Linked DNA regions of Mus musculus. The protein of the gene in region 5 binds, or shares a complex with, the protein of the main gene of each other region. Links are inferred from orthologs where the notes say so. Each region holds a gene or a part of one and is shown on either strand. Other genes may lie near its edges. The genes, in order: Zc3h13, Cbll1, Rbm15, Mettl3 and Virma.

Evidence for each region.
Region 1: the proteins of Virma (region 5) and Zc3h13 are in contact, whole or in part, in a cryo-EM structure (PDB 7VF2), measured with the Homo sapiens proteins. The link is inferred for Mus musculus from reciprocal best matches to the Homo sapiens genes VIRMA and ZC3H13. Residues at the interface, in NP_056311.2 of Homo sapiens: Leu521, Ser529, Tyr531, Gln532, Leu535, Glu536, Ile538, Leu539, Leu540, Asp541, Val544, Val547, Thr548, Ser551, Leu554, Gln555, His558, Glu561, Val562, Ser564, Glu565, Lys567, Gly570, Asp571, Ala574, Glu575, Thr577, Ser578, Glu621, Glu625; in NP_001317494.1 of Homo sapiens: Pro1492, Leu1493, Asp1494, Val1495, Ile1496, Asp1497, Val1498, Asp1499, Trp1500, Ser1501, Gly1502, His1507, Leu1518, Lys1520, Phe1521, Pro1523, Val1526, Met1527, Arg1529, Val1530, Gly1531, Ile1532, Ser1533, Lys1535, Leu1536, Ala1537, Gly1538, Leu1541, Lys1544, Val1545.
Region 2: Virma (region 5) and Cbll1 share a complex: the UniProt entries of both Homo sapiens proteins name them as parts of the WMM complex. The link is inferred for Mus musculus from reciprocal best matches to the Homo sapiens genes VIRMA and CBLL1.
Region 3: Virma (region 5) and Rbm15 share a complex: the UniProt entries of both Homo sapiens proteins name them as parts of the WMM complex. The link is inferred for Mus musculus from reciprocal best matches to the Homo sapiens genes VIRMA and RBM15.
Region 4: Virma (region 5) and Mettl3 share a complex: the UniProt entries of both Homo sapiens proteins name them as parts of the WMM complex. The link is inferred for Mus musculus from reciprocal best matches to the Homo sapiens genes VIRMA and METTL3.

What each region holds. Positions count from the first base shown.
Region 1 is NC_000080.6:75,289,855-75,295,483, forward strand, and holds part of Zc3h13 (zinc finger CCCH domain-containing protein 13), read left to right. Parts: intron 1-1,714; 5' UTR 1,715-1,723; coding exon 1,724-1,840; intron 1,841-2,323; coding exon 2,324-2,433; intron 2,434-4,036; coding exon 4,037-4,148; intron 4,149-5,629. UniProt on the Homo sapiens protein: Associated component of the WMM complex, a complex that mediates N6-methyladenosine (m6A) methylation of RNAs, a modification that plays a role in the efficiency of mRNA splicing and RNA processing.
Region 2 is NC_000078.6:31,492,059-31,497,687, forward strand, and holds part of Cbll1 (E3 ubiquitin-protein ligase Hakai), read right to left. Parts: intron 2,692-5,629; coding exon 2,524-2,691; intron 122-2,523; coding exon 21-121; intron 1-20. UniProt on the Homo sapiens protein: E3 ubiquitin-protein ligase that mediates ubiquitination of several tyrosine-phosphorylated Src substrates, including CDH1, CTTN and DOK1. Targets CDH1 for endocytosis and degradation.
Region 3 is NC_000069.6:107,329,845-107,336,258, reverse strand, and holds the start of Rbm15 (RNA-binding protein 15), read left to right. Parts: upstream 1-2,969; 5' UTR 2,970-3,178; coding exon 3,179-6,044; intron 6,045-6,414. UniProt on the Homo sapiens protein: RNA-binding protein that acts as a key regulator of N6-methyladenosine (m6A) methylation of RNAs, thereby regulating different processes, such as hematopoietic cell homeostasis, alternative splicing of mRNAs and X chromosome inactivation mediated by Xist RNA.
Region 4 is NC_000080.6:52,301,654-52,308,082, reverse strand, and holds the start of Mettl3 (N6-adenosine-methyltransferase subunit METTL3), read left to right. Parts: upstream 1-2,958; 5' UTR 2,959-3,095; coding exon 3,096-3,195; exon of another isoform or gene 3,196-3,200; intron 3,201-6,429. UniProt on the Homo sapiens protein: The METTL3-METTL14 heterodimer forms a N6-methyltransferase complex that methylates adenosine residues at the N(6) position of some RNAs and regulates various processes such as the circadian clock, differentiation of embryonic and hematopoietic stem cells, cortical neurogenesis, response to DNA damage, differentiation of T-cells and primary miRNA processing.
Region 5 is NC_000070.6:11,523,000-11,528,628, forward strand, and holds part of Virma (protein virilizer homolog), read left to right. Parts: intron 1-3,347; coding exon 3,348-3,441; intron 3,442-3,595; coding exon 3,596-4,140; intron 4,141-4,648; coding exon 4,649-4,884; intron 4,885-5,538; coding exon 5,539-5,629. UniProt on the Homo sapiens protein: Associated component of the WMM complex, a complex that mediates N6-methyladenosine (m6A) methylation of RNAs, a modification that plays a role in the efficiency of mRNA splicing and RNA processing.

The DNA.
Region 1 (5,629 bases), on a different chromosome or scaffold from region 5:
TGTGACATTCTAAACTCTTTAAAGTATATAATTACTTCAGAGTTATTTCTTAATTTTTATTCTATTAAAAGAATGGTTACATTTTATGTTAAAGAGTTAGTAATATAATATATAAACTTCCCAGTTAAATCTACCTTGATTTGCCATCTTTTTTCACTTGTCAAACTTTTTTTCTAACTTTTAAATGTATCAGAATGTGACCTAAATGGCCTAATTAAGTGAAATATTTTTATAATCACTATTGAATTTTTGGCTTTATTTTTATATTTCAGGATATTTTATCTGTTTTCTTTTTGTTGTTGTTATTTTCAAAACAGCGTTATACTATTAATCCCAGGCTGACCTTGAACTCACTACGTAATCCAGGCTGGCCTGAATTTACAGTCCTCTTGCCTTAGTCTTCTTTCTGAGTGCTAGGTTTACAGGCCTGCCCCACCACACACTCAGCTGCTACTGATGTGATTTCTTGTCCAGTAATACGTATTTATTTTGAAATCATTAGAGATCGTCTGTGATCTTGATAAAGACAGGTTCTGCTGCTGGGGAGTGTATGTAGTGGAGAGCGTCGGGAAGCCCTGTGTTCAATGCCTAGTGCTGCATACAGAGTCAGGCGTGGGTGCCTGGGATTGCAGAAATCAGTGGAGGCAGAAGGACAGGAAGCTCAAGGTCATCCTTTGCTGTATGTTGAACTTGAGGTCAAAGTGGGCTACGTGAGATCTTGACTCAAGCACACACAGGCACACAGGATTAGTTGTGTATCAAATAGAACTTACCTTTTTTTTTTTTTTAAGCTTCTAGGGCTCTTTCTAATCACGTGACAGTTAGGTGATGTAAAGTGTTGTGTAGTTAGCTCCTTTGCTTTTACTCACAGAGTTTTTTCCTTAAGTAAATCAGTACCAATTATTTCTTGGTCTAGAATTTGTTTTCTAACATGTGCTGTCTCCTGAATTTTCACTTTCAATTAAATAATTGAGTTAGTTTTCTGATTATAGTTTCTAGTTTTTTAATGCTTTGTTTAGCTTTTATCTACTGTTGCCACTTGATTTTTTTCATTACCTTTAGCAGCTTTGACTTTCATCAGCATGTGTTAGAAACCTTGGGCAGTTTTGGTTTCAATATTACCGAAAAATTAATATTTTTAATCAGATTTTCTGTGACCCCTGTAGCAAAGAATTTTTAAGTAATGTCCACTTTTCTTCTATACTGTTTGTTTGTTTGTTTTACTTTTGGTTTTCTTCCAGACATAACTAGGCTGTGAACTAGAGATTCTCCTGCCTCAGCTTCCTGAGGACAGAGATTACTAACATGTAGCAGCACATGGACCCAGACAGTTCCATACTCATTTAAAACAGTACTTCTGTAGCAACTTAACAGTTAATCAGTAGTTAATCAGTTGTTCCCCTAAAGGACAGGCCTACTAAATTTTACAACACTTTTTAAATGTTTAAGTAACATTTGAAGTTGAATGTCCAGTACAGAGGATATACAGGTCAACCAACCGTTTCCAGAGTTGTTGGGCACTTAGAAGGCAAGCACCATCTTTGTTTATTGGTGTCTTCTTTCAGTATCTTTCTGTCCACCCCCTGCCTCAAGAGAAAAAAAAAAAATCTCCATTTTTAGGCTTTACTTATAGTTTTGTCTGTTTGAAGTTTTAGGCTCAGGTGTGTAAAATTGAAAGATTGTACAGTTTTAACTCTCTCTTTTTTGGTTAAAGTAGTTCAAAATGTCAAAAATTAGGAGAAAGGTCACAGTGGAAAACACCAAGACCATATCTGAGAGTACATCCCGAAGACCTAGCGTATTTGAGAGGCTTGGCCCCAGCACTGGAAGCACAACAGAGGTGAGTTGTTGCTACTGTGGGTTCAGAGCACCTATTGGAGTGTGGTGTAGTGGCAGAGCCCTTACCTATCATGTATAAAGAGGCCCTAGCCTCGATCCTGTGTACTGGGGGAAACATTTAAAATACTATTATTGAAGTACTGATTGCTATTATAAAAGAAATTGTGTTTTGTCATGGGTTTGGCTTAGCAAATTTTATTTTATAAAAGGAAATACAAGGAAGGGTTAAGGTTTGTAAAGTTCTCATTATATAATATTTTTGTATGTTCAATGTATACGATGTATTTCGAGCATATTAATACCCCATTCCAGGAACTACTCTCTACCTAAACACACACACACCTTCCTGTGGTTTTTCATTCCCTTATGGTGTTATTATTATTGGAGTGGCATATGCTTAGCTGGCATTTGGGTCTCTCTGACTTGATTTTGCCCTGGTACCATCTTTTCTCCAGACATTTACATAGTAATATTTGCCTCATAGACACAGTGTCGTAACTGGCTGAAGACTGGCAGCTGCCTCTATGGAAACACATGTAGGTTCATACATGGCCCTTCACCTCGTGGGAAAGGCTACAGCAGCAATTACAGAAGGTAAACTGAGAACTCAGATATTTTCTATAGTATTAAAAACCAACTTTTGTAGTTTAGTGTAAAAATATGAAATAAAACCATATATTTGGTCAGATTTTCTTTTTTTGGATAGTCTTATTTTGGTTGTTACTGTTAAGATTAATAAAACTTTAGCTTTAAAGTGTACATGTTTACATGTTTTGGTAGTAGATCCATTTTTCAATGTGTATATTCAAATCAATGAACACCTGTGGAGAGACTGAGTCTGGGAAAGAACAGCCCTTAAAGAGCCCCTACCTGACACAGCCCCAGGTGTGTATTAAATTTCTGCTTAGGCACAACTCAGACGTTTGAGAGAGTTTACTTTTCGTAAACGAGTAAAATTTAAATAAGGTTTAATTGTAATTTTCTACAGGCATTTTAAATTCATATCTTATACAAGCTTTGTTATAAAATCTACTTGCCAACCCTCTTGGGGCACTGTGTTAATATAAATGCACTTAGGGGCAGGAGTGATAGTCAGTGGTTAAGATCCCTGACTGCTTTTCTAGTAGACCTGGGTTTAGTTTCCAGCACCTACAGGGTAGCTAACAGTCATCTGTAAGTGCAGTCCTGGGGGACCCAGTGTCATTTTCTGGCTTTAGGCACCAGTCATGTACATGATGCACAGTCATGCAAAAAAAAATACCCATACACATAAAGCAAACAAACAAATAATTTAAAAAAATTAAGTGTGTTTCTATGTGGATAAATATTTCCTCTGCAGAACTCTATTTGCCTTTGAGAGAAACTTGGCTAAACTTAACTTGCACAGTGAAGATGTTGTTAGGATTCCCTGTGTCTCCTTTTAATGACTTGGCAATAATTTTTAAAGTTAACATGCATAGTATTTTTTACAGAAATAATTTAATTGGTAAACAAAGAGTTTACCTAGTCCTGAAATTGTGTATGCTGATTGCTTTGTCTACATCAGTAGCTGGAAAACTGAATGTGAAAATTAGTGACGGGAGATTTTTAAGTAAGTGTGTGTATGTGTTCACTCATGTGGGCACTCCACATTTGAATGTGAAGGTCAGAGGACAGCTTTTGGGAGTCTGTTTTCTTCTTTAGGCATGAATGGCCGTCACTTTTACCCACTGAGCCATCTATGGCTATCATTTTTAAGGTGCATAAAGTAATTTTTAGTTAGTAGTGTATGCAACTACATACATATCTGTGGATGGGAATGCTATTATCTCTGAAATAATTTTGCTACTTTATAACTTAACCTTTCTTTTACTCTCCTTCATCTACAATATGTCTGCTAAATTTAGGTGGTGAACAGGAGGTAACTCAAGCTGCTATTTACACACTCATTTTCTTTAGTACATACATTGCTTCTTTTTTATATTACCAGTACTTAACACACAATGGAAGTTAACATGCATCTTGAATGGCATTAGGAGAAACTTGTAAATATTTCTCATATTTTAAAATATTACTGTTTAATAAGCTGAAACATTATTTTTCAGAAGTTTAGGCACCAAAGACAGAAAAATTATATTAGTCTTTATGAAGTTATTTATATTATTCTTATAAAACATCATAGAAATACAGATTTTTGTTGTTTTGTTTTGTATCACAGGTCACCAGAAAGACCCACAGGTGACCTCAGAGAAAGAATGAAGAATAAGCGTCAGGATGTGGATTCTGAATCCCAGAAACGGAATACAGAGGAGCCATCCTCACCTGTTAGGGTAGGCATAAAATTTGTAAGACCCACTTAAGTTTCAGTAGTCATTTATTTCATGAACTCCATTTTAAATATTAAGTAGCGTGACTTAATATGCTATAAATCTATAATTACACATGACAATATCCTGTGTGAATAAATAATTTTCTATGTACTTAAAATGACCAGCAGAGCTTAGCTGAACTTAAAAGGTTTTGTATGATCCGGGAACTCACGAGTATCTAAATGCAGGCTACAGTTGTGAAGTTATCCTCGTGGTCAGTTTTTATCCCTCTGTAAAGAAATCCCATCTCTTCTGTCAATCACTCCTGTTGCCCCACTGACCATGAGCCCTAGGCAGTCATGAAATCACTTCTTTTTTATAAAGTGTCTACTCTTTGTGCTTCTTTAAATAGATCTTATAAGGTGTTACCTCTCTTGAGTATCTTCCTTAGTTTTTAATATTTATGGAAGATTGTTCCTTTGTCTTTTTTTTTCTAAGAATATTCCATTAGCATTCTATATTCTCTTTTTCACTTATCATTGATGGATATTTGGGCTCTTCCCTCTTTTCCCCCATAATGTGAGTGAGAAGATTCATGTACAAGTCTTTTGTTAGCACGAGTTTATTTTTCTTGGTTTTATCCCAGGGAACAGAATCGCTGAATACATGGTCTGTTGGTTTCTTTTCTGTTGCTGTGACAAAATGCCTGTCAGGAGGAGGCTTATTTTGGCCTAGAGTTTGAGGGTGCCATGTGCATCATGGCGGGGCTGGGGTAGTGGGGGGTGGGGAAGGGGCACACTTGGTCGCTTGCACTCACAGCCAGCAGGCAGGCAGGCCAGGAACATCAGGCTGGGCTCAGCTCCCTTTCTTCTTGGTATTCGGTTCAGGATTCCTAATGCTTTGTCCTTTAGTACATGTTGTGATGACCCCAACCATAAAATTATTTTGTTGCTACTTATAACTATAATTTTGCTATTGTTGGATTGTAATATAAATATCTGATATGCAGGATATCTGTTATGTGACCCCTATGAAAGGGTGGCTCGACCCTCAAAGGGGCTGTGACTCCCAGGCTAAGAGCCACTGTGCTAGACGGCCATTTAGAGATTGCATTGCTTTTATATGAAGGTTCCAGCTCCTCCAGTTTTTCCCAGCTCCAAATTGCAGTTTTGCTTTAATAGCCAAGGATGTCAAGCATCATGCACATACTCACTGGCTCTTGATACATGGTTGGAGAAGTTCTGCCCAGCTTTTAAAATTGAGCTGTAAGACTTCTTTATAATTTTGAGTACAGGTAAAATATATTTTTGAAGGTTTCAAGTGTTCTATTCTTTTTTTTTTTTTTTAGTTAGTAGTAATGTGAGATAATTATGTATTTATACACCATCAGACTCACTTCTAGTATAAAGAATTTTGCTTTACTAATGTTTAATACAAATACAAGTAATTTCTTTGTAAGTTAAAAACAGCAAAAAAAATAGATTTCTGTTTTAAAATTTTGT
Region 2 (5,629 bases), on a different chromosome or scaffold from region 5:
TTTTTCACTTTTAGTTATACCTTGAAATCCCAAAAAAGGTGTCCTGGAAATCTTCGCTGATTCCCAAAGAGTTCGCCTCCTTTACAGTCATATCGCTGTTCTTCGTTATAATCAAATCCTTCTGAGAGAAAAAAGTTACATTACATTTTCCAACTTCAAATTTCAATTTAAAGTATATTTATTTACATAACAAAATTAAAAGTATATATATTTACTGAAAAATGTTTCTGATAACTTTCAGAGATCTAAAAACATGAAAATCAAAATTCCTAAAACTACTCTAAAACAATAAAAAAACAAAAACAAAAAACTAAACCTATATTAAATTCATGTTATTATAAAACTTCCCTTAGAGTTTTGTATATAAAACTAGTTATAAAAAACGTAGTAAAAGTATTCTAGAGTCCTACCTCTACAACACCAGGCCTTAATTTTACTTACCGTTTTCCCACAGATTTTAATAGACAACTCACATTTGTCACAGAAATTAACTGGCATATCATTTTTAAACTAGAGTTTAAAATGCCGGCTGGAAGTAGTCTTCATGATCATTGAGTCCATCTCTAGTACTTTACAAATGACAACATACTGTGGGTACAGCAGCCACCATATAAGCCACGTGCCAGAGCCAAGAACAGACCTATAACCGAGTCTCTTATTCAATGCTCTTAGCAACTCCACTAACCACCTCTAATATAAAACCTCACCAATTATCACCATGTTGTTTACGGAACAGAATTTAGGAGTAAGACAGATCTTCTAGAACTTGAATGTATGTTAACAGCCAGATTTCTATTCTGGAATTAAAAAACCAATTACTCAGTATTTATGGTAAACAAAACATCACTTAAAAAAAAAACAAAACACACCCATAAATATTCTAAAGTATGGGCCAACAATCTGTTACTATAAAAGGCCACAGTACAAAACTTAGGCTTTCTTGGTCATATAAATCTAGTTAATTCTGCCACGCTAGTAGGAAAATAGCCACAAGGCAATACTCTTAACTGAACAGCAACTTTATCTATTTTAAAGGAACCAAACTTGGCCTGTAGACCAGCTTGCTGACTTCTAACAGATGGCAAGACAGGAAGCGGTTTTTATATTCATGAAACTAGGAAAGGCCTTTTAAAGAATATATTAAAAACAGGAGAGAGCAAGCTCTAGTTTAACTGGCTTCCTAGAATGTCCAAGTTCTTTACAGTAATATTTTATATACAAAGTTCAAAAGATAAATGAACTACACAGACATTTAACAAAGCCAATATTATAAAGAATTCAAAATTAAGAGAAAGGCAGCAATCAAAACAGAGCCTGGAACTGAGGCAAGAACTGGCGAGCACTATGAAAAGGCATCCAACCACACTTAGGCTCCTGCCTGTGACCACAGCACTGACAAGGCCGAGGCAGCAAGACTTTTGACCTTCAAGAGCAGAATGGCTATCCAAGTTCTGCCTCAAAAAAAGTTAAATTAATAGTGCAAAATACTGAGTATGTGAGTAGAAACTATACCACACCCTTTCTGAAGAATTTAGCAAGATCTGATATATTCTGAAATGTACAAATCAAGTCTTTAAAAACAGTCATTTGTTGTGTACATGATATGGAGGGAGGGGTCTGCACATATGGAGAGTGGTGGGTGGAGGTCAGTTCTCTCCTTCCTTTTAAATGGTTCTAGGATGAAACTTGGGTCACCAGGCTTAGGGCAATTACCCTCACCCATTTCAAGAATTTGGCCATCTTCTCAAGTCAAATTTTTAATATTCACATTACAACACAATTACGGCAAAACAAGTATCTACAAGAAAGTAAAATAAATTGTAGGATATCTACAGACTAAACATCTAGGACTACTCATTTGTTTGAGACAGGGTCTGTCCTCAAACATTAATCCTCTTGTCTCAGCTTCCTAAGTGCTGGGATTTCAGCCATGTGCCACCTCACCTGGGTAAAACTATATTTTATTTTTGGTTTTTCTAGACAAGATTTTTCTGTGTAGCCCTGTCTGTCCTGGAACTTGCCCTGTAGACCAGACTGGCCTTGAACTCAGAGATCTACCTGCCTCTGTCTCTGGAGTGTTGGGATTAAAAGCATTCACTACTACCACCCAGCTTACTTGAAAGATTTTTTTTTAAGGGGCACTAGCATCAGTTTTATAGAGGACCGTGAAAACAAATTTTACTTTTAATGTAATGCTCTGTGCAATACCAGGGGAAGGGCGCTTAAAAAGGGATAGAACTAAACTAATTCTAAAATAGGTTTAATAAAATCAGATGGATTACTTGATACACTCAGATAAACAAGAGAACTCTTTTTAAAATTTTACTTGTATTTATGTGCATTGGTGTTTTGCCTGCATGTATGACTACGTGAGGGTGCTGGAGTTACACACAGTTGTGAACTGCCATATGGGTGCTGGGAACTGAAGCTGGGTCCTCTGGAGGAGCATTCAGTGCTCTGAATCCCTGAGCCATCTCCAACCTGACAACTCAGTTTACACTCATTTCAGTTTACACCAGTTACCTTCATCACCTTGCGGGGCCTTTGCGGGCATCCTGCTGACAGTCCTTTGAGTCCGAGGTGCCGGCTTAACTTTGCTGGCTTGTTTGGAGATGAGCTTTATAGGGATTCTTCTGCGAACATCAAGACCACCCAAGGATCCAGAACTATTAGTGCCTTGTAACTCATTGTCTATATGAATGTAAGAAAAGAAATTGTAATTATGTTTACTTTTCTTTTTGAAAATTGTTCTACAACAAGTATAAAGATAAAATCAACAACATCAAACAATAAACTGAAGATCTTGGCTCTGATTTTAAATACTAGACTGGTAAGTGTAACTGCTAATAGTCTTTATTTGGGGTAAACCTTTAAAGAAATGCTTTCGGTTAAGCTTTAATTAATTAATTAATTAATTATTTATTTTGTCAGGGAACCCTTTCAGAAGCTGATAAAAATTATAGAACATTTATCTTTCTAAAAAATGAGCAATAAAAATTACCATACAATTCTATAGTAGTTTACAAAAAGATAACCCTCTTTAAAAGTCTAAAAACCTCTTACAGATTGTAAAGATTTTTAAAAATAAAGGAGAAAAAAAAATTGTCTTAACATATGTGCCTAATTATCAAACAGGTGAAGTAGCCATGCAGTAAACTTAGTAAATTTACATAACAAATTGAAAATGCAACCCTAAATCTGAAATATATTTGAAAATGAAGTTTTAATTTATTATGTTTAGGGGGGACTGCTGTGGAGCCACAGTGAATATGTGGAGGTCAGAAAACAATCTGTGGGAATCGTTTCTCCCCTCCAACCACCTGAGCCCCAGATGTTGACTTCAGGGCCTCAGCAGGTAGCAGTGTCACCCGTTACGCCACCTTACTGGCTTATGTGTTGGCTTTAAAGAGGTAATTATTCCCTTAAGCATAACATTTTTTTAAAAAATTATTCAACGGAAACAAAAATATATCATTTAATAGAACACATGCATTATTTGTACTATAACATTTCTAGAGACACAGGCAACAGGTATCTTTAGTTAACAGTCAACACTGCAATGGAAAACTATTAGTTAGACCTGGGTCTTAAAAAACAAGACACTTTCTAGTCCTTAAAAATCTTACCATCAATGAAAAAAAGGAATTCTTGTTCATGAATAAGGGGCACATTATTTCACAGGACTGAATCACATAGAAGTACATAAAAATATGTAACACAAAGTATTAAACTTTACCTTAGGATAAAAAGGGAAACACGTAAGGGTAAAAAATGCAAATATAATCTTAAAATTGTAGTGTCTGCAACACAAATTACGGAACAGAGCTCCTGCAAGAGTTACAATCGAAGCTGAGAGCCAAACTGTCCACGTTAAATCCGGCAAAACACAAATGTGAACGTAGTCTGCTAGTACTAATAATGTCCACTTCTATAGGCAATACCAACCAATTAAACTCATACCCTCTTGCCCTTTCTATCATCAAAATAAAATGAAATTTAAAATGGGTTTTAATGATTAAACATGTTTACTTTCTACTCTTATAACAGCTAACTCCTCTCAAAATCTTTCATGGAAAGATTAGATGAATAGCTACAATCTTGAATTATAATAAACCAACTTGATCAATCTTCAATACTGCACTAAAATGGAGTGTCTTTCATGTATTTCAGCAGTCTCTGCTGCATTCGCTCATCTATATATAAGTACCTACATAGATCTCAGATAACCTTTTCCCCTTGCACAAAAAGTCTTCCCACCTTTCCAAAGAACTGAACTAGCCAACATGTTGCCCTTCAGATATCACAAGAGTTATTAGTGTGTCAGTCTGTGATTGACAACACACTACCTGCACAGCCTTCCAACCAGCTCACATAACCCAGTTTCCCATTATTTAAACAGTAGCCTGGCTCTTTCACGAGCCTCTTTCTAAAGCTACTGTTTGCCTCACAGATTTCAAGGGACAAAATTCTGAAGTTTGTTTGTGTGGGGCCACCCATACACAGAAACAAAACACAAAGCATGTAATAAATATCTGGATGTTACATAAGGGATAAAAAGAATAATTGGGCCATTTAAAGTAAATATACCTTTAAAAATATATTATTTTATTATATAGTTTTAAAAACAACACACTTAATATTTTATCTTGAATAAAAGGAGCCAAGGAACTTAAGCCAGGTATGTAGCTCAGTGGTAAAACCTGTCTAAGGTCCTGGGTTCAGGTCCCCAGGATCTATCTCCCCCAAAAGAATGAAGCAGTATTTTAAAAATGTGGGTTCCTTTTACCTAAGCACTAACCATCTCTTACAATGACTAAAGAATGAATCAAGTGTTTGCAGGGTCTTTATTGGCCTGGGTGCCCGTGAGGTAAGAGCATGGGACAGAGCTGGCCTGAAAGGAGCTGCAAGGGTGCCATCACCTTTCTGCTGCTTCTCTCCACCCCCGAGGGCCCTGAGCTCACCGCTGACACTGCTGCAATCTAGAGAAACACTAAAGAAAGCAATACGTGTTTGCCATTTAAAAAAATTCTAAATTTTTTTTTTCTGGCAGAATTCTACTTCAATACTCCCATTTACAAGACCTCTTGATCCTTTGACATTAAAAATCATTATTTTGAGAAGTCTACTCAGTCAGAAAATTGTCAATTAACTAGCTAACTACCATTTCTTGGTTTGCCAAAGGCTCTATGATTCAAATTTGTATTTATTTTGTGAAAGTTTGAGTCTTTGGCTTAATTTCATATTTTTCTTCTCAAAATGTGCAGCAATTAAAACTGAAGCACGCCGGGCGTAGTGGCGCACGCCTTTAATCCCAGCACTTGGGAGGCAGAGGCAGGCAAATTTCTGAGTTCAAGGCCAGCCTGGTCTACAAAGTCAGTTCCAGGACAGCCAGGGCTACGCAGAGAAACCCTGTCTCAAAAAACCAAAAAAAAAAAAAACAAAAAAACTGAAGCACTAGGAGACTTTGTCATAACTGATTTAAAATCTAGAAAAGCTAACATTAAACAGAAAGGAGAGCTGTCTGGAAACACTTTTTTGTTGTTTTTTGTTTTTCGAGACAGGGTTTCTCTGTATAGCCCTGGCTGTCCTGGAACTCACTTTGTAGACCAGGCTGGCCTTGAACTCAGAA
Region 3 (6,414 bases), on a different chromosome or scaffold from region 5:
AGTTCTTTTTTTTCTCAGTTCTAGTTTCTAGTTCTCAGTTTGCTTCCCTCAAGCTCCTGCCATTAGGTCTGAGAAACTACACTGACTGGTCCTTATCTTGCCTCTGCATCAGTGAATCACCTGCGTTAATCAATTTAGGCTGAAAACAGTCACTCCAAGTTTTTCTGGATTGACTATTCCACTGAGTAATCAGGTTAAGGTTTAACTTCAATTCCTGTTTTTTTAGTATTCATATAATCTTAAAATAGATGAACACACCTCTGAAAAGTTCTTTATGCTTTTTTAGAGATTGTGTGTACAACTACTTTATCTCCCAATATCCAAGTTTTTATTTTTCAGTATCATTTTCCACTAAAGAGAACAGGAATGTTCTTGTAGGAATGATAGATTCCACATCTGAGGCAAAAATGTATCAGGCATGCCTGGAACAGAATAATGGAGCAGGGGAGAATGTGAATAGGATTATAGACTTAAAGAAAAATAAGACGGACATGATCTTATAATTGCTGAGACTCTGTGTTCAGGACATGAGGTGGTCTTCAGGAAATACCCTACTATTGTACATTTTTAAACTAAAATCCTACAAGGAAAATTTCTCTTGCTAATCCCTGCCCCTAAGAGCAATCTCTGTAACAATTTCAATAAAAGTGTAAGCATATATATGTAATCCACGATTTTTAAAACCACAACTGGTAGTTTATTATACACATTTTTTCTCTGACTGATGGCATTTTATGTTAACATTATTTAAACATCTTTTAAACATTATTTTTGCAGGCCTGGAGAGATGGCTCAGGCGTTGAAGAGTACTTGCTGCTCTTACAGAGGACTACAGTTTGTTTCCCAGGGGCCCAGATTGGTGACTCACAACCCTGTAACTCCAGCTTCAGGGGCTCTATCACCCTCTCTGGCTTCTCTGGATATTAGAACACTACCATACATACAGACATTCACATAAATATTTTTATGACAAAGTCTCGTTATACAGTCTTGGCTGGCCTAGTATTCACTATATAGACAACTCTGGTCTTGAATTTACAGAGATCTGCCTGCTTCTGACTTTCAAGTGGTAGGATTAAAGGGGTACACCATCATGCACTGCTAAATAAATCTTTAAAAGAATTTTTTTTCCCAGTACTAGGAATTGAACCTAGAGCTTCACATAGGTGTCCAAGGGTCCTGAGCTATGTCTCCAGACTTTTGTGTAGGGGTGGTTTTAAGACAGAATCTCACCAAGTTACCAAGTTACTCTAGCTAATGAAGAAAGCAATTGTGATCCTATCCGCAAGAGCAGCTGGGATACAGGTGTTCCAAAAGCCACATAACAGCTACTTTTAATATACAAATATGTCTATGCTTTATAGTATTTTGCGGTTTATAACTTACATATTGAGCTTCTTTCAAATCTTTTTGCTGTGACCAAGAGAGTTTGGCCCAACTGTTCACCAATTTCAGGGTTATATACCAACAAAACAAAACGGTTGAAATAGGGCTAATCAGGTTGCTGTATCTAATCTTCAAGTAGCTTATAAATTTAGAATTCAAGTTTTGGGGAAGGGCATTCTTATCACCTTGTAAAATGTCCTGTTTTAAAACACATTCTCTACTCAGTCTTAGAAGATGTAAATACCAAAATCTTTCTCATCTCTCCTAGGTACATTTTTGGGAAGACTGCAAAAAGCCTATTTCCTCTCACCAGGAGGTAAACGCTAGTGGGATAGACTACGCATCTAATCTCATGATCACCAGTATTACATAAGCTTAAGAGATTCAGGTGCATGGGGTCGCAGAGGTGGGAGACGGGAGGCGTTTAGACGGGAATCACGGTTAAAGGAGTCAAAGGAAGTGGATATAGGAGGGAGCAAGGTGGCCATGTTACTGGGTCCTACTATGGATTAATCGGAGTGCTGGAGTCCTAGAAACGAGATAAATGTAGTGTCCGCACAGTGAGAAGTGTGACACATTAAAGCAAAGCACAGCTATATTATGTCTCACACATCTTTTATAAATGCAAACCTTACAGGGATTCACAACATAAAGCAGGAAGCAAAAATCTGCAAGTGGTCCTGCAGGTCGGACCAGTAAGTGGGCTTGCAGGACACTGCGGGCCCTAAGGCGGCCACTGAGACTGGCCAGGGCTCCGCGGCGCTGTTCCCTGTGTCCGCGGGCGGGCAGTGACTCGGTACCGCCCAGGGCGTCAGCGTGACCCGAGGCTCTGTGAACCCTGAACTCACCGCCCCAGCGGGCCGCACAGACCGGGGCAGGCGTTTTCTCGCGCACGGGGGTGGGGCTTTTTCAGGCAGCTAACTAAGATGGTGTCGGCTGGACTGTCCGGGACAGCTGCCTAGGCGGATCGAGTGAGGGCCAGCAGCCGGAAGGACCACCGAGCCCATTGTCCCGCCCAGACAGGACAGTGAGGAGCCCGCAAGTTCCAGACTCGAAGGACCGAAGCACAGGCAAGTACGCCGTAAGGACCTAACAAATGTTTAAGAGAACGCCGAAAGCGCGGGGAGGCGGGCCTGACTCACTGTCACCATCTCGCGACAGCAAAGTGACGTCGCACAGCAAGCGCGTGGTCTTAGTCTTTCACCTTCAGACGCCTCAGTTTATGGGCCTACTCCTTTAAGTGAGTGATGGACAGCGCTTTTATCCAATCATGTTCCTCGTCAACATCCAATCAGATTTAAACTTTCTTCAGCCGCCGGAGAAGTTGGAAGACTGGGGTCGAAAGAGAGCGAGCGAGTGAGCGAGTGAGCGAGCGAGCTCTTTGTCTCTCGCGAGATCGGAGAGAGCCAAATTCTCAGGAAAAAACGCCTGAACTGATGTCCAGACTTCCCGATAGTGATTTAAAAGACGTGGCCACAAACCAATGAAAGGGAAGAGAAGGTGGGATCGCTGCGTTCGCCGTGCTAGAAGTACCGTTACAGGGCAGAGTTTTTGTCCAATCAACGCTTCTAGGCTTTGGGTCAGGTGACCATGAAGTGCGAGGGGCGGAGCTACAGCCTGGCGCGAGGAACCGTTAAGATAGACAACGAATATAACCAATGAGGTACTGGGATTAGGGCGTTGGGAACCCAATAACAGCGTCGGGGCGGGCGCCTTCCCGGAGCGCGGGGAGATGTAAAGACGGACAAATAGTTTTTCCAATGAGAAGGCTGAAGAGTGAATTAATTGACCAATGAGGTCTGCGGGGCGGGAGCCTTTGCCGCGGCGGAGTCCAAGATGGCGGCGTGCGAGTCCGCTGTGTGAAACGAGCGCGGGGTGGCGGGTTAGTCAGCTCCGCAGAGACGACCTCCGGCGACCCTCAACAATGAAAGGAAAGGAGCGCTCGCCGGTCAAGCCCAAGCGCTCCCGTGGCGGTGAGGACTCCAGTTCTCGTGGGGAGCGGAGCAAGAAGTTAGGGGGCTCCGGCGGCAGCAATGGGAGCAGCAGCGGGAAGACGGACAGCGGCGGGTCGCGGCGGAGCCTTCATCTGGACAAGTCCAGCAGCCGGGGCGGCAGCCGCGAGTACGAGACCGGCGGGGGCAGCTCCAGTAGCCGCTTGCACAGTTACAGCTCCCCGAGCACCAAAAATTCCTCAGGCGGGGGCGAGTCGCGCAGCAGCTCCCGGGGTGGAGGCGGGGAGTCACGTTCCTCCGGGGCCGCCTCCTCCGCGCCCGGCGGCGGGGACGGCGTGGAGTACAAGACCCTGAAGATCAGCGAGCTGGGGTCCCAGCTGAGCGACGAGGCGGTGGAGGACGGGCTGTTTCACGAGTTCAAACGCTTCGGTGATGTAAGTGTCAAAATCAGTCACCTCTCAGGTTCTGGCAGCGGGGATGAGCGGGTAGCCTTTGTGAACTTCCGGAGGCCAGAGGACGCGAGGGCGGCCAAGCATGCCAGAGGCCGCCTGGTGCTCTATGACCGGCCTCTGAAGATAGAAGCCGTGTACGTGAGCCGGCGCCGCAGCCGCTCCCCGTTAGACAAAGATGCTTACGCCCCGTCATCCAGCGTGGTCGGGACCTCAGTCGGTAGCCACCGGCACGCCCCTGGAGGAGGGGGAGGTCAGAGGTCGCTTTCCCCTGGAGGTGCTGCTCTGGGATACAGAGACTACCGGTTGCAGCAGTTGGCCCTGGGCCGCCTGCCTCCTCCACCCCCGCCACCATTGCCCCGAGAGCTGGAAAGAGAACGAGACTATCCGTTCTATGACCGGGTGCGCCCGGCCTACAGCCTGGAGCCGAGGGTGGGAGCTGGAGCAGGTGCGGCTCCTTTCCGAGAAGTGGATGAGATATCACCTGAGGACGATCAGCGTGCCAACCGGACACTTTTCTTGGGCAACTTAGATATCACTGTGACGGAAAATGATCTCAGAAGGGCTTTTGATCGTTTTGGAGTCATCACAGAAGTGGACATTAAGAGGCCTTCTCGAGGCCAGACCAGTACCTATGGCTTTCTCAAATTTGAGAATCTAGACATGTCTCACAGGGCCAAACTTGCAATGTCTGGCAAAATTATAATTCGGAATCCAATCAAGATTGGTTATGGTAAAGCCACACCCACTACCCGACTTTGGGTGGGTGGTCTGGGACCCTGGGTGCCTCTTGCTGCCCTGGCACGAGAATTTGACCGATTTGGCACCATTCGAACCATAGACTACCGTAAAGGTGACAGTTGGGCATATATACAGTATGAAAGTTTGGATGCAGCTCATGCTGCCTGGACCCATATGCGTGGATTCCCACTTGGTGGCCCAGATCGTCGCCTCAGGGTAGACTTTGCAGACACAGAACATCGTTACCAGCAGCAATATCTTCAGCCTCTGCCCTTGACCCACTATGAACTAGTGACGGATACTTTTGGACATAGAGCACCTGACCCTTTGAGGAGTGCTCGGGACAGGACACCACCCTTACTATACAGAGATCGTGATAGGGACCTTTATACTGATTCTGACTGGGTGCCACCCCCACCACCGGTTCGAGAACGCAGTGCTCGGGCTGCAACTAGTGCTGTCACTGCTTATGAGCCACTAGATAGCTTGGATCGAAGGAGGGATGGCTGGTCACTGGACAGGGACAGAGGTGATCGGGACTTGCCCAGCAGCAGGGACCAGCCAAGGAAGCGAAGGCTGCCTGAGGAAAGTGGAGGACGGCATCTTGATAGATCACCTGAGAGTGAACGGCCTCGAAAACAGCGTCACTGCACTCCTTCTCCTGACCGAAGTCCAGAACTGAGCAGTAACAGAGATCGCTACAACAGTGACAATGATCGATCATCTCGTCTTCTCCTCTTGGAAAGGTCTTCCCCAGTCAGAGATAGACGGGGCAGTTTGGAGAAGAGCCAGAGCGACAAGCGAGACCGTAAAAACTCTGCATCAGCTGAACGGGATAGGAAGCATCGGACAGCTGCTCCCACAGAGGGAAAAAACCCTCTGAAAAAGGAAGACCGATCTGATGGCAATGCACCCAGTGCCAGCACTTCTTCATCAAAGCAGAAGCCACCTTCCCAGAAACAGGATGGAGGGACAGCTCCTGTGGCAGCATCCTCTCCCAAACTCTGTTTGGCTTGGCAGGGCATGCTTCTACTGAAGAACAGCAACTTCCCTTCCAACATGCATCTGTTGCAGGGTGACCTCCAAGTTGCTAGCAGTCTACTTGTGGAGGGCTCAACTGGAGGCAAAGTGGCCCAACTCAAGATCACTCAGCGGCTCCGTTTGGACCAACCCAAGTTGGATGAAGTAACTCGACGCATCAAAGTGGCAGGGCCTAATGGTTATGCCATTCTCCTGGCTGTACCTGGAAGTTCTGACAGCCGATCTTCCTCTTCCTCAGCCACATCAGACACTGCCGCCTCTACTCAGAGGCCACTTAGGAACCTTGTGTCCTATTTAAAGCAAAAGCAGGCAGCTGGGGTGATCAGCCTCCCTGTGGGAGGCAATAAAGACAAGGAAAACACCGGGGTTCTTCATGCCTTCCCACCTTGTGAGTTCTCTCAGCAGTTCCTGGATTCCCCTGCCAAGGCACTGGCCAAATCTGAAGAAGATTACCTGGTCATGATCATTGTCCGTGGTGCGTCCTAAAGTCCATGTGTAACTTGTATTTACTACTTGACATGGTTCCTTGTTTTGTGATGTGTAATGGGATATAGCATCAGATGAAAATTTCTTTCAATTAGTTTAGTTGATTTTTTTTTTATATATATATATTTTTGTAAACCTTAAAATAGATATTAGGGCAGTTAGTTACTAAGTGAAAGGGATGCCCTGAGGTAGCGGGAAGATAGGTTGCTTTAATTAGGAGTTCTTACCCTCATAATTTTTCTTTAGGTTTTTTTTTTCCTTTTTCAATTTTGAGGGTTTCTTTTTTTTTAAATCCTCAAAATGATAAAACCCCCAATTTTTAAAATTATAATTTGGAGAAAAGTACCTTCTGATAATAT
Region 4 (6,429 bases), on a different chromosome or scaffold from region 5:
TGCTTTTGAGATGCCCTGTAAAAACAGCTGTCTTCAAAGAGCCTGATGAAGTGACAACCTTTGGCTATCTGACTCTCTTCTACTTTTTGGCCAAAAATAGAACAAGCACAAGAAACAAGCAAACACTTGGGACTCTAATAAGTAGTCAGTTCCCAGAGCGTCCACTGCTCTGTCAGAGCCTTAGACCTGCATCTTTCTTCTCAAGGTCTCAGCATTTGCTTTCAGAGAATTCTACCCATGTCACCCAAATTCATCCATCCATCTTTCTTCCTTTCTTCTTTCTTTCCCTTTTTCTTCCTTCCTTCTTTGCTTTGTCTTGTTTGTTTTTCTTCAAGACAGGGTTTCTCTGTGTAGCCCTGGCTGTCCTGGAACTCACTCTGTAGACCAGGCTGGCCTCGAACTCAGAAATCCACCTGCCTCTGCCTCGCAAGTGCTGGCATCAAAGGCGTGCACCACCACTGCCCAGCTTCTTTGTCATTTTTAATCCTTTAAATACTTACCTCTTTTTAAGTGTTCTGTCCATTATAGCAGCTGAACACACGTGAAGACCCAGGATCCAAGAGAGCAAATATGGGCTGCAAATCTTGGTTCTGGAACTCAGGAAATACCACTCTTGCCACATTCTGTTAGTTTACTAAATCTAGGCAGAAGCCAGTTCACACTCAAAAGGGGAAATAAAATTAATAGGAAGTGTTTGGTTTCTAGGTCCCAGAATAAGGGACTGGGGTGTATATTTTACATATCAAAGCAGACCTGGCCCCCAGGTTCTCCCAGCATCCCTCCTCCCTACCTGGCATACCCTGCCCACAACCTTGAATTTGCCATTCCAGGGGCCAGGCTGCCCTTCCTGCCCTTCCCCCAGAGGTTCCTCCCTCTATAATCCAGACATTTTGCCCGCGCGGGCTCTCTCTCTCTCTCTCTCTCTCTCTCTCTCTCCCTCCCCCCCCCTCGACCCTGCTCTCTTCTTCCCCTCCCCATCTCTCCTCCTCCTTTTCTCCCCTTGTTCGAGAACTTGTTATCTTTTTCTCTTCCCCCATCCCCATCCATGGCCACCCCCCTGGCCCCAATCCTTGGGGACAGTGAACTCACTCAAGAGCAGATTCCCAGTAAACCTGCCTTTAATATGATCCTGTCTGGCTCTAATTGGCTCATTTATCAGGAATAACAGCAAGTATATACATCCCACATAAGATCATAAATTATGGGAGACATTGGTCCAACTGTGGACCCAACCCCCATAGCACAGGAGGCAAAGCTGAAGTGAGGAGTGCAACGTCGTCTCACAATCGCGTAAACCCTGACTCTGCTTTGCTGCCCTGGAGATCTCTGGCATACTATGGCATACTATGCACATATTTGCCACTTAGCTATCACCCACCACCCCCGTTTTTATTTATTTATTTGAGTACACACTGTAGCTGTCTTCAGACACACCAGAGGAAGTCATTGGATCCCATTACAAATGGTTGTGAACCACTATGTGGTTGCTGGGAATTGAACTCAGGACCTCTGGAAGAGCAGACAGTGCTCTTCATTGCTGAGTCATCTCTCCAGCCCCTTAACTTTTCATTATTTAGGGACTATTTTATTAGTTTTTGTAATCAAACTACTGTACATAAGACCATTCAGTGCAATAATAGAAATAATTTTACTTTAGTTTTTGTTTCTGGATAGGTTTGATAGCCAGCCCAGGAGATCTACTGTTCTCTGCCTTTCCAACACTGAGATAACAACTGCCTAGTCATGGGCTGGAGATAAGGCTCAGTGGTAAAGAGCACAATTTATTATTACAGAATTGAACTCAGGTTCAAACCCTAGCACCCACATTGTACATCACAATTGCCTGTAACTCTAGTTCACGAAGATGACTCCGTCTTCTGGTCTCCAGGGGAGCCAGGTATGTGTGTGTGTGTGTGTGTGTGTGTGTGTACAAACACACATATACAAATATTCAAACACAAAAATAAACCTTTTTCTAAATTAAGCTAAAACAATGTCTGCCACCCCACACAGCTTTGCCTTAAATTTATGTGGGTTCTGGGAATCTCAGAATCTCATGCTTTCACAGCAAACACTTTACTGAGCTACCTCCCCATTTCTTGCACATTTTCTTTTAAAAAAAAAAAAAAGAACAAATTTATTATATGTATATGAGTACACTGTAGCCGTCTTCAGGCACACCAGAAAAGGGCAACGGATCCCAATTACAGATGGATATGAGTAACCATGTGGTTGCTGGGAATTGAACTCAGGACCTCTGGGAGAGCACTGAGTGCTCTTACCTGCCGAGACATCTCTCCACTCATCCTGAACATTTTTAAAGAGTGCTCCCTCACGCTGAAAAAGATGGTTCCCTAATTAAGATGTTTGTCTTAGAATATGCCTGAATTCCCAGAACTCGGATATTGAGGCAGGAGGATTGTGAGTTGCAGAACCACATAGTGAAACTCCACTCTCCTTTCACACACTTTGTATAGAAAGAAAGAAAGAAAGAAAGAAAGAAAGAAAGAAAGAAAGAAAGAAAGAAAGAAAGAAAGAAAGAAAGAAGGAGGGAGGGAGGGAGGGAGGGAGGGAGGGAGGGAGGGAGGGAGGGAGGGAGGGAGGGAGGGAGGAAGGAAGGAAGGAAGGAAGATAATATTTAACTTAGAAAATCTGGGGCCTTAAGGGCAGAAATCTATGATACAGTGCTTGACCGTATGTGCAAGGACCAGAATATACAATCAACCAGACTAACAGTCTGTTCACTCCTTCCCGTCCATCCATCTCTCCACGCATACACCCACCCGTCAAACACTCACACTTGTTCTAGCCCTGCTATTTTAAATGCGTTGTCACTAACGACTTAAAGAAACAACATGGCGGGTCTGCCAGCTACCAACATGGCAAACACAGCCTCAGCGCTCCCGGAAACACGAGAGAGAACTACCGTGAGGATTACGTCCGGCTGGTTCGCCAACCGGAAGTGGCTTTTCATCTTGGCTCTATCCGGCTGGCCTTCGGGCGTCCTCGTGAGAATTAGATGTTTCTTAGTTCTAGGCTGGGGAGGTGCTAGTCCGCCGCGCCTGATTCGAGCCGAGTCCGCGCTGGGAGCTAGGATGTCGGACACGTGGAGCTCTATCCAGGCCCATAAGAAACAGCTGGACTCGCTTCGCGAGAGATTGCAGCGGCGACGGAAGCAGGACTCTGGGCACTTGGGTGAGGTGCGGGGTGGTCGGGGCGGGCCTGGGCGGGGCGAGAGACTCCTGGAGAGGAAGACAGCCCCGGGCTCTGCGCCCTTTCCGGAGCAGCCCTTTATTGGACTCCTCGATTGTTGGTTACCCCATCTTTCCCGAGTAGCTGAAACGCATGCCCACCTGCGGGAAAGCTTGCAGTGCCTCCTCCCGGGCGTCGGTTTTTCAAGCGTAACACCACACCAACATGGGTCCACTCCTCTCCTTGGGTCCCATTCCAGTCCTGTCTAGGAGAATGTTGCGTCCGTGAAGCCTCTCAGTACCTTATTCCGAGAGCCAGCAAAACCCGTTTTGTTGCTTCTGTGCCTGTTTTACCTTAGTTGTAACGTTTGCTTTGTCACTGTCTTTTCTTTCCCATGTGGGCGGGGAGCAAGGATTGCTTCTGTATATCTATCCCCAGAGCCCGGTTTAGCAGCCACAACAGGGTCCTCACTAGGACCTTCTCACTAGGACCTTAATGAATGAGTAGTGCAAGTGTTTACAAACGTAGCAAGAATCTGAAAACACTTGATTTTGGTCTTTAAACATTTTCCCCCTCCCCCTTGTATGACAAAGTTAGAAAAATTGAAGGCACTTAAAAGAGTACTACCCTAATAGCCTTCTCCAGCACAAGCTCAATTATTTAAGGTAAACCAGTTGCAAAGCTCTGCGAGAATACCGAATCCATACTACATGTGTGGGTAGCATGTCAGTGCTTTGCAGTATTCACAGCTCACAACAGCAGACCTTGGTGAAATTCAGTCTCACCGTAATTTGTGAACATTTATTGCATATCTACACTACTCATGGGTTTCGGCAAAAAGAAGACACTGCTGTTACCTTAAAGGAGCTTAAAAATCTATGTGAGAATCAAAGAAGATTAGAAGAAAAAGCAGGGAGAAAAACCCTTCATGGTGGCTCATGCCTGTAATCCCAGCACTTTTTTTTTTAAAAGATTTATTTATTTATTATATGTAAGTACACTGTAGCTGTCCTCAGACACTCCAGAAGAGGGAGTCAGATCTTGTTACAGATGGTTGTGAGCCACCATGTGGTTGCTGGGATTTGAACTTCAGACCTTCGGAAGAGCAGTCGGGTGCTCTTACCCACTGAGCCATCTCACCAGCCCATCCCAGCACTTTTTTAAACAAGAGGGATATCTGTGAGTTTGAGGCCAGCCTGGTATACACAGTGAGTTCCAGGACAGCCAGAACTACCTAGAGAGACCCTGCCTCAAAACAAAACAACAAAGCCAAAAAAAAAAAAAGAAAAGAAAAAGAAAGAAAGTGTCACAGCTACAGTATTATATATGTAAGATGCTAAATGAATGGGTCCACAGTCGCTACAATGACTAAGAAATGGGGCAAGCTTAATGGGGACTTCCTACTGGAGTTGCCAGTTAAATTTGGCCTTGATTTTTAAACTGCATTAGCCAATACAAGATTTATCAGATTACATAATTTAAAAAAGATAATAGGGCATTATGGAACACAAAGTGCAAAACATAGGAAAAGGGAATAATTAGAAACCAAGATTTGAGAGTTCGAAGCCAGCATGGTGTACATAGTGAGTTCCAGGATAGCCAGAGCTACACAGTAAGACCCTATCTCAAACACACCAGGAATGAAGAACAGTAACACTTTAATCAAAAAATGTAACAGGCACAGCAGTTAGATTCCTTGTTTTGAGTTGATAGATTCTTTGTTTTGTTTGAAATAAACCTAATAGCAAAAAGTTTGTTTAAACATATTTGGCATTAGGTATCATTGCATATTTCTATAAAATACCAGTTTTAACTATATTTGTAGCTTGAAAAGCAGTCTATGTTTCCACATAGAATTTCGGCTAGATTACATCAAAAAGGATGTTTCTTTGGCTTTAATTAGAAGTTTGAAATCATGGAAAACACTCAAGAATTTAAGACTTATTTACTAACATTTGTTTTGGTCATGGACAGCTTTCCCAAAGTATGCTCATTAAATTGGGCTAGACAAAAAAAAAAAAAAAACCCTACAAAGTCAATGTATAATAAGAATTGCCATGTTGGGTGGTGGTGGCGCACATACAAATCTTAGTTTGCACTTAGGAGGCAGAGTCAAAGGCTAGCCTGGTCTACAGAGCAAATTTCAGGATGGCTGGGGCTATACAGAGAAACCTTGTCTTGAAAAACAAAACAACAACAATAAAAAAGAATTGCCTGGAGTTTTGATTAACAAAATAAACATTTGTAGGAATAGGATTGTATTACACAGTGCTTGGCACACATGTTTGTTTGTTTTTTATGTAAGTGTTTTGCCTTCACGGAATTATGTGCCCCACATGTGTGCCCAATACCCTTCAAAGCCAGAAGAAATCTTTGGATCCCATGAAACTGGATTACAAATAGTTGTCAGCCACCATATATGTTCTGGGGACCAAACCCCAGGTTTGAACAGCAAGCATTTTAACCATTGAGCCATCTTTTCAGCCTTGGCCACATAATTGAGTATAAATGGGGAAATGGTTAATATATGACTTAAAACCATTTCAAAATCTACCTAACAAGCTAGGCATGGCATTACATGCCTATAACCCCATCAGGAGGTTAGAAATTTTTAGGTTAGCGTGGGCTAAGTAGATCCTATCTCAGACAAACAAGGCCAGGCATGATAGTTCATACCTGTAATCTCAGTACTTAGGAGGCTAAGGCAGCAGAGTTTGAGGCTGTACTGGGTTACATAGTAGGTTCCAGACCAGCCTGGACTAAATAGTAAGACCCTGTGAAAAAAATCAGGCATCTCCATGACAAAGTAGTGATATAATTTGACTTACAACTTACCAATAATAGGATAGTTGTGGTGGTATATGCCTTCAGTTCCAGCACTTGGGAGACAAAGCGAGGCAGACTTTTGGACTACATAGTGAGTTCCAGGACAGCCAGAGCTACAAAAAACAAACAAAAAAAAACCCCACCTATACTTTTATAGTCCCTATCAAAAAAATCCTTTTTTTTTTTTTTTTTTTTTAAGGGGAGGGGAAAATGTCTCACCATGTAACTCTGGCTGGTCTGGAACTTACTATATACACCAAGCTGGCCTCAAACTCAGAGCTAACTGCCTGCCTCCGCTTGCCTGGGACTAAAAGGCAATGTGCTTCTATGCCCGGCTGCCTTTTTAAATGTATTATTTTGAGAAAGGTTTGCTAAACTGTCTAGACTTAGACATGAATTACTCTGTAGCCC
Region 5 (5,629 bases):
GTTACCCTCTTGATAGTGGAGAAACCCCGACCTTGATTGATCTGTGTGACTATAGTATTTGATGCATGGATGAAGGTAGTCATGTACATGAACACACATGCATGCAATACTCTGTTTAAATAACCTGCTACTCTATGTTTGGATGTCAGAGTACAGCTTGTGGGGTTGGCTCTCTCTTCTGCCATGTGGAGTCCAGGGATGGCACTCAAGTCTTCAAGCATTTTGGAAAGTACTTTTGGAAAGCTATCTCCTAGGTTCTACAAACACCTTTGAAGTTAAATGCTACTAGTATTCTAATTTTAATTAATGAAATAGTGTAGCTCAGAATATTTAGGTGAAAATGGATGTAGCCAATTCCAGATAAGTCTAGTGTGGACCAGTGTTCTTTGTTGTTAATTTTGGATAGTGACAACTGTAGTTGAAATTAAAAGTTGAAATCTGTAAAATCTATAATTTGTAAAAGTAATATTTAAAAATTCATATGTATTTCATAATGAAAAAATTATTCATCATTAATCTTGCAGGTTGCTCTTTCTCCCCTTTTTTTCTTACTTGACCCAGTGGGGCTGAAGGCACATAATGAACACGTTAAACTACATCAGTGTAGACTGAGTTCTCTGCTACTGCTATGTTTAGCAGATGACCACTGTGTTTTTTTCATATTTAAGAGAGGAAGTCACCTTGGTTTTGCAGCTGTAATATATTATTAAAGTAATTTATATATTTTGACCAATTCTTTGCTCTTTTGAAGTCAAAAGGAAGTATTGTTTAGTACTATCTGCTTTAGATCTTTTTGTCTTAGTGATTCCCTTGTCTTTTCATTCTGTGTCTCTTAAGAATATTTTTGTTTGTTTGCTTGCTTGCTTGCTCTTCTTTTTTCTTTTATAGAAAGGTCTCACTGCCCTTGCTGGCCTGTAACTCACTATGTAGACCAGGCTAGTGTGGAACTCATTATGTAGACCAGGCTAGTCTAGAACTCGCCAAGATTGGTCTGCCTCTGCCTCGTGAATGTTGAGATTAAAGGCAGCCTGTGCTGCATGAGATCCTGTCTCAAAACAGAAAGAGGGTAAAGAGAAGAAAAGACCTTGAATTATTGTCTATTAACTAAACATTTTAAACTGATGATGATGGTGAATGCTTGTAATCTCAGCACTGGGTGCCTGAGTCGAAGGATTGCAAGTGAGAAGCAAGCAGAGACAGCATCAGAAAACATTGCCTCAAAACCAGAACCCTGCCAGGGCCAGGGAGGAAGCTCTGTTGGCAGAGTGCTTGCCCAGAATGCACAAAGCCCTGACTTTCTTTCCTGCAGCATACGAGCCGGGGTACGGTGGTCTGTAGGAATCACTGGTACAGGGTTATATTGTCAGCTGGATGGTGAGTTTGAGGCCAGTCTGGGCTACATGGGATCCTATCTCAAAAAACCAAACAACAAAATGAAATTCTGATTTCCTCATAAACCTTGTGTTTATTTCTATTTTGATTTTTGGTTTGAGGTAGGATTCAGTTGGAAAACTTAGGCTGGTCTTTATTTACCTCCTGAGTGCTAAGACCAGTCATGTACTACCATGTCCTTTCAAGTCATTACCCCATAAATTTTATTCTATAAGTAATTCCTATCCTAAGATACACTAAATACAGTTGAACCAATATTGAAAGTTGATGATTTCTTCTTGTCTCAGTGATTTGTAAAACTGTAAGAAAAAAGTTAAGGCAAAAGGATAATGCAGAGCAGAAGCCCGTGAGGGAGAGCAGGCTTGGTCGGTTTGTTTGCTTGCTTTTAAAGCTTATATCCTGAGACTTAGAAGTTGGAATATTTTAAATCATCAAAAAATTTCAAGTTATAAATTTATTAATAATGTTAGTCTGTGAAAGCTACAAAATGTAAACAAAACTATTTGGTATTTGGAAACATAATCAGATTTTTTGTTTTTCGAGACAGGGTTTCTCTGCATAGCCCTGGCTGTCCTGGAACTCACTCTGTAGACCAGGCTGGCCTCAAACTCAGAAATCCACCTGCTTCTGCCTCCCGAGTGCTGGGACTAAAGGCATAATCAGATTTTAAATACAAAAACAGTTTCATTTCTTGTACTCTGTCTTTTTGGTGTCTGCATTTTAAAAAATAAATGCTATTTAGTCTATAAATGTTTGAAGGTTTCATCTAACCCTTGAAAGAAGTTTAGTAACCATGGGGCTTTTTAAATATAGTCTGGCACAGTGGTGCAAATCTGTAATTCTAGCTCTTTATGAGGCAGAGGAGGCCAAATTAAAGTTAGAGGCTAATCTGGGGATCTTAGTGAGACCTCTGCTCAAAACAAAAACAAAACAAAGACCCCAGAACCCAAGAGCTCACTTGTCAGTTTAACCATTGCTTCATTTTTGAGAGAAATAATATAAAATGGGTCTATAGAAAAGAGTTATTTTAAATTCTTAATACAAAGAATCATAGGCTTTTATTTACTGCTTTGTTTTAGTACTTGAAATACACAAATATGCTATGTTTGGTTTTTGTTTTTGTTTTTGTTTTTGTTTTTGTTTTTTGTTTTTTGTTTTTTAGACAGGGTTTCTCTGTGCAGCCCTGGCTGTCCTGGAACTCACTTTGTAGACCAGGCTGGCCTTGAACTCAGAAACCTGCTTGCCTCTGCCTCCCAAGTGCTGGGATTAAAAGATGTGCGCTGCCACTGCCTGGCTACGTTTGATTTTTAACATATTATTGTACAGTACAAAACATGCCTGTGATGTTGCTGGAGAGATGGGTTAGCATTAAAAACACTGGTTGCTCTTCTAGAGGATTCAGGTTCCATTCCCTGTCCCTACATGGCAGCTCACTGTAACTCTAGTTCCAGAGGGGGTGCGACATTCTTATGCACACATACATGCAGACAAAACACCAGTGCATATAAGGTAAAAATTAATAAATCTTTTAAAAAAATTAAAAAAGAATTTTACAAGAAAAAGTGAAATTAAACCTAAGGTGAACTAATTTACGAAAGTTTCTTTAGTAGTGTGGTTTTTCTTAGATGTTGTCTCTTTTGTTTGGGTGTTCTTTGAGACTGGACATGGTATAGGTCTAACCCTGGCTGCCTTGGAATTCATTGTGTAACCCAAGGCTGGCCTTAAACTCACCACTGTGCTTCTTGCTTCAGCCTCCTGAGTGCTGGCATTGCAGGTGTACAGCACCACACCCAGCTTTGTCATGCTTGAAACATGCTAAAGAGTGAAGAGTGTGCAGCCCAAGCCTTTGTGCTGAGGATTAAACCTAGAGCCTTGTGCATGCGCGTGCACACTCTACCTCTGGAAGCTCAGAGTCTTCACTAACTTCTTGTTTGCTTTTATTTTATTTTTTAAAGAATATTGATAACTTGATGACTGCAGAAGGAGTTGGCCTTACCACTGCCTTACGTGTTCTCTGTAATGTGGCATGTCCACCACCTCCCGTAGAAGGTAATATAATTAATATACTTTGAAAACTTCCATACTTAAGCCTGGTTAAATATCATTAAATATTCAAAATATTCTTATATTCAAAATATTCTTGATTGATTGATAGCATGTAAGTAATTCGTTTTTTCTTATTCCTTCCTTACCCTATATAAAGGTCAGCAGAAAGACCTGAAATGGAACCTTGCTGTTATTCAGCTTTTTTCTGCTGAAGGAATGGACACCTTTATTCGGGTTCTGCAAAAACTGAACAGTATTTTGACGCAGCCTTGGAGGCTCCATGTGAACATGGGGACTACCCTGCACAGAGTCACTACCATTTCAATGGCTCGCTGCACGCTCACTCTGCTTAAAACTATGCTGACAGAGCTCCTGCGAGGCGGATCCTTTGAGTTTAAGGACATGCGTGTTCCTTCAGCACTTGTTACTTTACACATGCTCCTGTGCTCTATCCCTCTCTCAGGTCGTTTGGATAGTGATGAGCAGAAAATTCAGAATGATATCATAGATATCTTACTGACTTTTACACAAGGAGTCAATGAGAAGCTCACGATCTCGGAAGAGACTCTGGCCAATAATACTTGGTCTTTAATGTTAAAGGAAGTTCTCTCTTCCATCTTGAAGGTTCCGGAAGGCTTCTTCTCAGGACTCATACTCCTTTCAGAGCTGCTGCCTCTTCCCTTGCCCATGCAGACCACGCAGGTACCACTTCATATCACATGCATCTTGTCATGACTGCAGTAGCTCCTTAGTAATGCCAGGGATGCTGGTCAAACCCAAGCAAGCCTTCGTCCTCCTCCCCAAAGACAGAGTAACTGAGCTGAGGGTGAGATGAAACTGAAGCGAGTTGGAAGTGTGGGGTAATGTTTGAAATGCCTTTTGTGAAGCGAGTTTTATCATGTTGTTATGTATACTTGTACTTATGTTTTCCTGTTACTGCAAATCTTTTTTCTCCCCTTATCATGTTTTTAGAATTTGCAAATTAGATCGCTTCATCAATGGACTCTGCTCAACTGACTGCCAACCTGAGAACAATACTTTTTTTTAGACCTGTTGGATTCAAACAATTGTTTAATTGTAATAGTGTAATAGTGAATTATGTTTTAAGCATGCAGTAAAGGTGTTCTTTTTATGACAGTTCTTCCTGAACAGTTTTGCGACTATAATAAAAAAAAAATCTATGTACACACACATTATACTTTTTTAACAGGTTATTGAGCCACATGATATATCAGTGGCACTCAACACCCGAAAATTGTGGAGCATGCACCTTCATGTTCAAGCAAAGTTGCTCCAAGAAATAGTTCGTTCTTTCTCTGGCACAACCTGCCAGCCCATTCAACATATGTTACGGCGTATTTGTGTTCAATTGTGTGACCTTGCCTCTCCAACTGCTCTTCTGATCATGAGAACTGTGTTGGATTTGATTGTAGAAGACTTGCAAAGGTATTTTCATTCCACCTTAAGAAGTTTTCCTCAAGTTACTCTTGACACAGATAACCTCTTTTACATAGTTTGGAAACTAGGGTTTAGTAAGCCTAGATAACATGTGGATGTATAAATACACACACACACACACACACACACACGCACACACATACTATAATATATGAAAATTATTTTTTTAGAATGCTTTATCTTCTCATTTCATGTGTAAGTCATGTTGAAGGTCTTGATTGGGGTTTTTACTTAAATTTCATTATAGCATAATGCTTGCTTGTGTGCATGTACATGCTCATACATGTATGGTCAGGACTTTATATAGTTGCTTTTTTCTTTCCTTCTGTATGTGGATTCTGGGGTTGAACTCAGGTCATTAGGGTTGTTCTATATGAGTACCTTTATTTCCTGAGTCACCTTCCTGCCCCAGTTTTGCAGTTTTTAAAAGGTGAAGTATAAAGAACTACTCTGACTTGAAGTATATTATTGAAATCCTGAAATTATAAAATTTTGCAGTGACTATAAGCTTCTGGAAAAAAATCATTATATCAAAGGAATGAGGTGTATGTTTTATACAAAATTTGTGTGAATATATAGAAAATATGAAATTGTGTTTAAAATCAAGAACCTTGTTTACTGAACATATTGATTTTATTTCAGCACTTCAGAAGATAAAGAAAAACAGTATACTAGCCAAACCACCAGGTTGCTTGCTCTTCTCGATGCCCTGGCTTCACACAAAGCTTGTAAA